2 linked regions of the Oryctolagus cuniculus genome follow. The protein of the gene in region 2 purifies or fractionates together with the protein of the main gene of each other region. This does not show direct contact. Links are inferred from orthologs where the notes say so. Each region holds a gene or a part of one and is shown on either strand. Other genes may lie near its edges.

Evidence for each region. Proteins that work in one complex are often made in the same cells at the same time.
Region 1: the proteins of UBR5 (region 2) and ATMIN purify together in Homo sapiens (affinity purification with western blotting; 3 studies listed by BioGRID). This does not show direct contact. The link is inferred for Oryctolagus cuniculus from reciprocal best matches to the Homo sapiens genes UBR5 and ATMIN.

What each region holds. Positions count from the first base shown.
Region 1 is NC_091449.1:63,246,782-63,251,193, forward strand, and holds part of ATMIN (ATM interactor), read left to right. Parts: intron 1-374; coding exon 375-500; intron 501-1,102; coding exon 1,103-1,302; intron 1,303-1,948; coding exon 1,949-3,740; 3' UTR 3,741-4,412. UniProt on the Homo sapiens protein: Transcription factor. Plays a crucial role in cell survival and RAD51 foci formation in response to methylating DNA damage. Involved in regulating the activity of ATM in the absence of DNA damage. May play a role in stabilizing ATM.
Region 2 is NC_091437.1:127,732,905-127,738,250, forward strand, and holds the start of UBR5 (E3 ubiquitin-protein ligase UBR5), read right to left. Parts: upstream 3,269-5,346; 5' UTR 3,142-3,268; coding exon 3,080-3,141; intron 1-3,079. UniProt on the Homo sapiens protein: E3 ubiquitin-protein ligase involved in different protein quality control pathways in the cytoplasm and nucleus. Mainly acts as a ubiquitin chain elongator that extends pre-ubiquitinated substrates.

The DNA of each region.
Region 1 (4,412 bases), on a different chromosome or scaffold from region 2:
CTCTCTTTCTCTGCCTCTCCTCTCTCTGTGTAACTCTGACCTTCAAATAAATAAATAAATAAATAAATCTTTGGGAAAAAAAAGAAAGAAATAGAAGTAAGATTTTTTTTTAAAAACGTAGTTTAGTGGGTTTCTTGATAATTTTGAATGATTTATAGTGCTATAATTTACACACTGTAAAATTCACCCATTTCATGTAAGTCAGTCATTGTTTAGCTTTACTGAGGTGTATAATCATCATCACAACTGAATTTTAGCACATTCTCATCACCCTAAAAAGATCCCTCGTGCCTGTTTTCAGTTATTCCTTATTTCTATTACCAGCCTGTTCTGTTGGTTTTTTTGAAAATAATTATTTGATTTTCCTTTTGCAGGATGGCATAGTAAATCCAACAATAAGAAAAGATTTGAAAACTGTACCGAAATTCTACTGTTGTCCAATTGAAGGATGCCCCAGAGGCCCCGACAGACCATTTTCTCAATTTTCCCTTGTAAAACAGGTATTTTACTTAAATATACTTCTCTGAGGATGAAATGTGATCCAAACCTAGTGTGCATTCTAATTACTGAGCAGATGTAACCAGAGAACTGAGCAGAACGCTCTTTGGAGAGCAGATGGCCAGGCCTCTCCCAGCTGTTGACCATGGTGTGTGTATGGGTGTGATGCCAGTGGAGAGAAACAAGGCTTATTCTGGGGGAAAACGTCCAGAAGTGAGTTTGGAGAGGAAGAGACTTCAGACTTGGTCTAGTTCAACCAAGAATGAGAAAATGTGCTCCTGTGTGGATCTGTGAGCCTGTAGAGGTCACAGATGCAGGCACACAGGCGCTGTTCTCCCAGGAAGCACCTGTGCAGCCTCGGAGAACATCTGGAAGCTGCCTCCTAGGAGAGGGGAATTGAGACAGCAGGAAATTGGCTCTGAAATGCTGCCCCAGGGTCTCCTGGCACAGACAGATTCCTGCCCTGTAGCACTTACTTGTACATGAAAGGCTGCACGTCTGGCTGTGCGGATTGTTTCTAGAGCAGACGTCCCACTCTGCACCCAGCAGAGGCGGTAAGGAGAAGCAGCACGTGGTAACCGCAGCCCCTTCTCTGTTTTTCTAGCACTTTATGAAGATGCACGCTGAGAAGAAGCATAAATGCAGTAAGTGCAGCAATTCGTACGGTACCGAGTGGGACTTGAAAAGACACGCAGAGGACTGTGGGAAGACCTTCCAGTGTACCTGCGGCTGTCCCTACGCCAGTAGAACGGCACTGCAGTCCCACATCTACCGGACTGGCCACGAGATCCCTGCAGAACACAGGTGAAGGGGAGCGCGATGGTGGAACTAAGTCAAGTTCTGGGAAGAGTGCAGTGCAGTGTCCTGGAGAGCTGGCGGTGTGGGGAGAAAGCAGGATTAGGAAGAGAATTTGTGCAGACAGCGTCAGTACTGGGAAAGGACCCGTGTCTCGGCCTGGGCCCTTGACCTGGTTGTTCCCCTTTCTCCTTTTCAACCCCCCTTGAGGGTCCCAATTTCAATCTGAAAATAGCTATCAGAGGCATATCAAATTGCTGAAAAAATAAATTTTTTTTCATGAAACTGTATTTCACTTTAAAGGTCAGTTTATATTTGATATAATAGCCACCTGTTTTCAAAATGATAGAACTTACATTATATGTAATCCTTCAGCTTCCTTGCACTTGAAGACCTGAGTTGTAGTTCTCATGTTTAGAGTTTACTTTTTTAAAATAAGTGTGCTGCTTCCTCCCCTGTCTGTGTTGTTGAACGTCTGCCTAGCATAATTAGGCCCAGTTTTCTACATTGCAGAAGAAGCCTGCCTTCTCTGAGTTGACTCTGACCTCTGCTATAGTTGAGGGATGGGGGTTGGGAAGAAGTGAAGGTGCAGTGTCATCGTCAAAGACAGCTGCATTTTCAAATTGTTTTTCTCCTGCTCTGTCACTGTTTTCAGGGATCCACCTAGTAAGAAAAGGAAAATGGAAAACTGCTTACAAAACCAGAAGTTGTCCAATAAGACCATTGAATCGCTAGGCAACCAGCCAGCCCCCAGGCCAGCCCCTGAAGAACTCGAAACTTCAGAAACAAAGCTGGGAGCCTCTCTGGAAGACTCTTGTGGCTCTAACGCCAGAAAGCAGACGCTAACAGCACCTCCAAGATATCCTCAGAAGTTGCTGTTACCAAAGCCCAAAGTGGCTGTGGTTAAACTCCCTGTGATGCAGTTTTCTTCTGTGCCTGTCTTTGTGCCTACGGCCGACTCTTCGGCCCAGCCTGTGGTGTTAGGTGTAGATCAGGGCTCTGCTGCGGGGGCTGTGCACTTACTGCCCTTGTCAGTAGGAACCCTGATCCTCGGCCTAGATTCGGAGGCCTGCTCTCTTAAAGAGAGCCTCCCTCTCCCAAAAATCATAAGTCCTGTTGCTGTTGAGCCAGTTAGTACAGGTGTTCAAGTGAACTTGGGTAAAGGCCCATCCAGTGTTTTACAAGAACTGGGGAACACAGGTCAGAAGAACAGCCTGTCTTCAACCAATGTGCAGACAGACCTGTCGTACGCCTCACCGAGCGTTCTGCCTTCTGCACAGTGGGCTGGCCCCGACTGCGCTGTGTCCTCGTGTTCTCAGACTGACTTGTCATTTGATGCTCAAGTGTCCCTCCCCATCAGCGTTCACACGCAGACGTTCGTGCCCAGCTCTAAGGTAACTTCGTCGATAGCTGCCCAGACTGATGTGTTTCTAGATCCTTGCTTCCAGTCGGGTGGGGTCTCCAGAGAAACTCAAACCAGTGGGATGCCAGCTCCCACGGAGGACTGCGTGCAGATGGACCACACTGGGATGTGCGGGGGCATTTTTGAGAGTGTCCAGTCATCATACAGTGTCCCTACAGACAGTATGATAGAGACAGTAACTCATGGTTTGCTGCCACAGAATGACCCTAAGACTTTAAATCAAGATATTGAGAAATCGGCACCTATGTTAAACTTCAGCACTCAGAACAGTATGCTTCCTTCACAGAACATGACAGATAATCAGACCCAAACCATGGACTTACTAAGTGACTTAGAAAACATCTTGTCGAGTAATCTTCCTGGACAGACATTGGATAATCGTAGTCTTCTGCCTGACACGAATCCTGGGCCTGACACCCAGCTCCCCTCTGGCCCAACCCAGAACCCTGGAATAGATTTTGATATTGAAGAGTTCTTTTCAGCCTCAAATATCCAGACACAAACTGAAGAGAGTGAACTCAGCACCATGAACACTGAACCTGTCTTGGAATCACTGGACATAGAGACCCAAACTGACTTCTTCCTTGCCGACACCTCTGCCACGTCCTACGGGTGCAGGGCAAGTTCTCAGTTCCTAGGCCTTGAGATGTTTGACACACAGACACAGACAGACCTAAACTTCTTCTTGGACAGCAGCCCTCATCTGCCTCTGGGAAGCATTCTGAAACACTCCAGCTTCTCCATGAGTACTGACTCCTCTGACACGGAGACCCAGACCGAGGGAACCTGTGCCTCGAAGAACATACCTGCCCTGGAGAGCAAGGTTGAGCTGAACAGCACAGAGACACAGACCATGAGTTCTGGTTTTGAAGCCCTGGGGAGCTTGTTCTTCACCAGCAATGAAACTCAGACGGCAATGGACGACTTTCTTCTGGCTGACTTGGCCTGGAACACGATGGAGTCTCAGTTCAGCTCTGTGGAAACCCAGACATGTGCTGAACTGCACGCAGTCTCTGACTTCTAACGGTGGAGTCCACGTGTGGGACGGACGGCTTTTACCATTTCCCTCTGGGGTTAGAAAATGGGGAACAGGGACAACAGTGTTAACTCGATCAAGTGCAGGTGGCGATGCAGTTGCTTTGATTCTTTGTGTGCGGTTCTTTGCCTTTTGTATTTGTAAACATGAAAATTGTGTATAAATGTGAGTGTATTATAAAGTGTAAGATGTTTAGCTAAAAAGTCTGCTTTTGTGTTGCCTACATTTGCCCGTTCACAAATAGTCTTTCCATCTTTAGAAAGCAAAATGTGTTTCACACCTGTAAAACCTCTATGGCCATTATAGCTGAAGCCGAGCTTAGCAGGGACAAACTTCTCAAATCTTCAAACTCTTCCAGCCAAAGTGTAACGTACTTAAATTGCTCCTGAAATATTGTCGACGATGCCCCCGTGGCTTGTGACTCCTCTGCCTGCAGCACCCAGCTGCTTTGACATCTCATCTCTGATTGAAGACACCGAGGACGACTACAACCGCCATTCGCTTTTGAAACAGTAGTCAGCTGGTGCCATCCCTGTCCTACATGATAGCAACACAAGGGTACAGCATTTCCTGCACAAAACATTCATTGCTGTAAAATACTGTCTAGAGAAAGAGCAGCAAGCACTTCATATCAGTAGTGATCCTTCTCTAAGAGGTAAC
Region 2 (5,346 bases):
GTGGCATAGCGGGTAAAGCCATCTGCAATGCCAGCATCTCACACAGAGCACTGGCTGCTCCACTTCTGAACCAGTTCCCTGCTAATGGCCTAGAAAAAGCATCAGAGGATGGCCAAGCCTTTCGGCCCCTGCTACCCGCCTGGGAGACCTAGATGAAGCTTGTGGCTCCTGGCTTCTGCCTGGCTCAGCCCTTGCTGTTGAGATCATCTGGGGAATGAATCAACCGATGAAAGCTCTCTCCCCCTGCAACTCTTTCACATAAATAAATATTAAAAAAAAAAAACACACATTTTAACATACAGGACTACTATTAAAGTGAAGAAAATGGGGTTGGGTATTGGAAGAAAACTCATTTAGGGAAGAAGATATTGATGATTAAGGCCCTAAAATCTTTCCTGAACAATTTATCTGCAGTACCACATTGCTTGCTTTTACTGCTTTTAGCGCAAAGAACTTTTCACTCGAAACTATCATTTATCATTTCGTTTGTGACGCTCACATTTCTCATATTAAAATGACGGAATATGGCCGGCACTGTGGCACAACAGGCCCCATGTGAGCCCCAGCTGCCCAACTTCCTACCCAGCTCCCTGTTCATGCCCCTGGGAAAGCAGCAGCACATGCTTCAAGTGGTTGGGCCCCTGCATCCTCGTGGGCACCCAGAAGAAGCTCCTGGCTTCAGCCTGGCCCCGCCCCGGCTGTTGGGGTCATTTGGGGAGTGAACCGGCGGATGGAGATCTCCCTGTCTGTTGTTCTTTCTGCAACTCGGCTTTTCAAATAAATAAATGTTTTCAAATAAATTAATAAAATTAGAGTCGCACATTCTTTTCTAGTATCAAAACTCACTAAAACATGGCAAATTTTTTTTCTGAAGATGAACATATTCTGGACTGCTGCCTCTGGTCTAAAAACAAATCTCATGCACTATGTGTGGCTTATTATTTTAAACCAGAAATGCCAAGAGGACCTTTCCTTTTGAAGGGGAGGCACAGAACAGCTCTCTCGCTGAAAGTCGGGGTGCGTAACTGTCCTCAATGCAGGCCACTGGCAGCTACCAGATACAACTCTACATCCCCAAAAGTACCTATCTGTTCAGGGATCTACCACCTTGTTGTACGCGTTACAGTCTAACTCAAATCCACTTGTCTTCTCCTTTAGCTCACTGGAAAAAAAAAAAAAAAAACTCAAGATGTTCATTCTTAATATTGTATTCTGATTCTGTAAGAATAAAAAGTAAAGCTAACTATTTCTTATTTCTTTATACTAGAAGAAAAGTAGCTTCAAAAGGATTCATTACTTGTTAATTCATTAATTGTTAATATGTGATGCCAAAGAAATGTGCAAAAACAAATCAAAGGGCCCCATACACTGCAAAATAGATTCTGATTTGCGCAGTCAATTGAGTAAGTTAGGACTCTTGGTAAACAAAGTTAGGACTAACGCAGAAAACATGCCCTACTTCTCTCCTGCTCTCGGTGCAATTTTCTATGTTAGAAGGCAGGTTACGGGACAAGCTGGAACAACTGGGTCTATGAATGACGGCAGAGCTACCCTTCACTACTGGCCTGGTTCTAAAATGTACAGAAAGTCCCCGAGTCTGCAAAAGATCTGTAATGGAAGAATCACAGCAAAATGTTAAATAATTGATAGAGGCTGTTCCAGTGTTGAGAAGGAAGTACATGCAAACTCCCAGTGGTTAAATTTTCAGAAAGTTTCACAAACACACGACACACAATATGGCTACGGCGAAGAGTGGACGAGCCCGAGTCCAGTGCCACAAACTAATAGGACCGCTGGAGACTGAGAGGCTTCGTGCCCCACCTGGGGTGACTGGGCACCCGGAGGCCGAGGGCAACATCTCAACCAGCGAGCTGGGCCTCTCCCTCCCTCCGGGAAGCACATGACAAGCCGGGCGACAGGCACCGTAAGTCACCCGGTCACTTAGCAAAAACGGAGTCTAACTTCTATCGCGGGGCCAGCCGGCCTACCGAGGGAGCCGGAGATCCTGCACACTTCTGGGCCCTCGCGAGGCCTGAACCCCGGACTCTAAGGCACGCTTTAATGGAAGCCTCCCTCGGCCTCCCCGGAGCGTCTTCCTGCCACAGCGAGGGAACTTTTCCTGCTTCATCTCGGCTCGCGCGGCGCGTGTGGCCCTGCAATTCAATATCCTAAACCGGCCAGCAGCGCCGGAGGACGCAGGAGAGGAGTCTAAACCCAAACAGCCTCTTTATGAAAGACAGAAAATCACTCCTCCTCCGCCCGGAGCAAACCCAGCCCAGAAATTCCCAGCGCTGCGAACTGCGAACCTCAGAGTTTCCCTGCGACCCGCCACGCACGGTTTTCAGCTGTCAGATTACAACTCGGGGAAAAGCAAACAACAAAGCGCGCACCCCGGGGGCTGGGGGCCGGAGCTGCCAGCACCATTTCAAAGGCACGGGAATCCAAGCCACTTCCCACCCCCGCCCCCACGCAGCCCCTCCCGGGGCGGGCGAACCTCGCTGCAGGGGCTCAGATTTAATAATAATAACAATAATCATGGCGCTTCCGCCCGTCGCCGCCCGCGATCCGCCGGGAACCCGCGGCTCCCCGGGGTCCGCACCGCCCCGGCCGGCCTACCCGGGGGCCCCCGGCCCCGCGTCTCCTCTTCCCTCTCTTTTCACCTCCACCATCCCCCATCCGCATTGTCTGTCTCAATTCAACTTTGACTAATATGGATTCCTCGGGGCCCGGGCCCCAGCGGCAATTCCAGCCCAGCCCCCCGGCCCCGGAGGAGTGGGGGTGAGGAACCGGCGCCCCCCGGCCCCGCCGAGCTCCACGCGCTCCTCGCGGGGAGGGGGAGGGGGCTTGCGGCGCGCTCCGCCGTCCACGCCGCGCGCGCCCCCAGCCCCCCGGGTCGAGAAGTTGACGGCGGAAGGGTCCTGGCGGAGGGGAGGGGGCAGCGAGGACCCCCCCGACACACACACACACACACACCCCCAGGAGGCCGGCGCGTAAACAGGGGCGCCGCCGGCTCGGCCCGTGGGGGAGGGGCGCGGGAGGAGGCGCCCCTCCCCCGCCCGTGGCCCGCCGTCCCTATTACCTGTCATTGAGCTGGTCCTCGGTGCCCGGCAGCGGGTGAACCACGAAATGGATGGACGTCATGGCGCTTCCTTCTCGTCCTCTTCCCGAGGACGGCCCCCTCCTGCTCTCGCCCGCCCCCCCCGGACCCCCTTCCCCTCCCCAAAACCCACAGCCGCCGCCGCCGCTGCCGCCTCCCAGTCCCCAAATGGAGGGAAGCCGAGGCGCAGGGGCCGCCGCCGCCGCCGCCGCCTCCCTGCCGGGCGTGTGTCCGCGGCCCGGCAGCCCGGCGGGGCGGACCGAGGCGCCACCCGCTCCCCCGGCGACAGCGCCAGGGAGTGCGAGGCCGGCGGCCGGGACCCCGGGGCGCGCCGCCGCCAGCGGCAGCCGGGCGTCGGGGGAAGGGGCGGCTGGGGCGGGCGGAGAGGGGCAGGCTGCGGGGACGCTGTGGTACCGGGCGGCGGACGGGGTCCGGATTAGGGGAGGTGGGGAGGGACAGAAGCCCGCACCGCGCGTCACAGGCGAGAAGCCGTCGCCGCCGCCGCCGCCATCTTCACTTCTGCCCCAGTTTCTCCGTCTCGCAGGCTCCGCTCCCGAGCGGCGGGGGAGGGGTGGCCGTGGGGGGGGGAGGCGGAGGGAGGAGACCGGCGGGCGGGGGCACGGCTGCGAGGGGCGGGGCTCCGGGAAACGGGCGCTAAGGCCCTTTCGATTGGGCGACTCAACGTCGTGGGGCCACGGCGCTGTAAGGCGCGTGCCGATTGGTCCGTTCGGCCCCCGAGCCCAGCCCCGGGCGGGGGGGTGGGATGGCTCGGGGAAGCGAGTGTTCCGGCGAGCACGTGTTAGGGAAGGCGGCGAGCCCGCCGGGGCGGGGCGTGAGGGGAAGCGGGTGTCCCCGAGGAGGAGGGGGAAGGAGGCAGAGGCGGGGGTGCTGCTCCTGGTGTCCCCCGGGGCCAGCCCTCACTGTGTCAGCGACCTTAGGGGGTTTCTGTTGTCATTGCTCCTCCCGCTCCCGCGGCTGTATTTAAAGTGGAAGTGCGGACTGAGTCGAGGGGCGAGGGAGACCCAGCCTTTCGGTGGAGAGGTAAGGTCGTTAGCTAAGGGCCTCTCCCAAGGGGATAGAGAGTAGATCGCGGAGCCCACTTGCAGCGACTCCCTTGATCGGCCTGGTCTCCCCCCTTCCCCCACCGCCATCACCCGTGCACGATGTGGAAATTTCCACTGGTTGCCTGAGTTACGTGATTCATGATTCTTTGTATTCCTTGTAAATGGGAGATGATACTCTTGTATACCTTATTGTACCCTGGAGTTCTGCAACTCTTGGTGGCAGATTCTCAAATGCATCTATGGGGTTTTCCAGGAAACCAAGTTCGTGGCTTTCTTCTCAAAGGTTTCTACGACTTCAGAAAATCAAGTAACCTCTTTCAGAGGGAAGCCCAGGAACATAAAGCCTCTTCTCCGGTGCGAGTGGATGTTGGCAACCGCAGGGGTTGTGTAAAAAGTTCTTGTGGAAGGGTGAATGTCGCTTTTCCTGTATTAATGCCTTGCACCTGCACTTTTTGCTTAAGGTCTTTTGATCAAAAATACATGAAGATGTATTTATAAATCAGGATAAACTAGGTACCCCTGAGACGGATAATAGGACACTTTTGTAGGTCACCAGCTGCAAGGTTGGCCCAGATTAGTTTAGACTGAAACGAGATTTCAAGGCCACCACTTATTAGTAATGAAGTCCGTGCAAATCCTGGGGAAGCAAGACCAATGGGCATTGATAGTTTTCCAGCCAGAAAGACCTGGATTTGAGTCTTCTTTTCTGCTGCTTAAAGATGTGGTCCTGGTTAGATTATTTAAGCTATCATAGCTACTTTTTTCTCCTTTGATAAATGTCCCACAGTAACAGATCTATACAAGGTCAGGGTGAGGTCTAAGTAAGGTAATGAATGTCAGGCACATTGTAGTTACAGCAAATGGAAGCTTCTATTTGTCAAGTGCTCACTGTGCGCGACTTGATACACCTATGTCTTTTAATACTTAAGTCCTACTATAAGGTAAATACTATGATCTCCGCTGTATAGATAGCCCTGGGTCTCACACACTTTACCTAAGTGCTGCTGAGACTTAAAGCCATGTCTTCTGACTCTTAATTCCATCGCTCTTTCCACTATACCACAGTTGCCATCTAGAAGTTAATAATTTAGAAGGAACAGACTATTCAAAGCTAACAGGAAAAAAAAAAGATAAATGCAATAAGAGTGAAATGGAAGTAAAAGGAAGTAATTCCAGCCAAGAGAA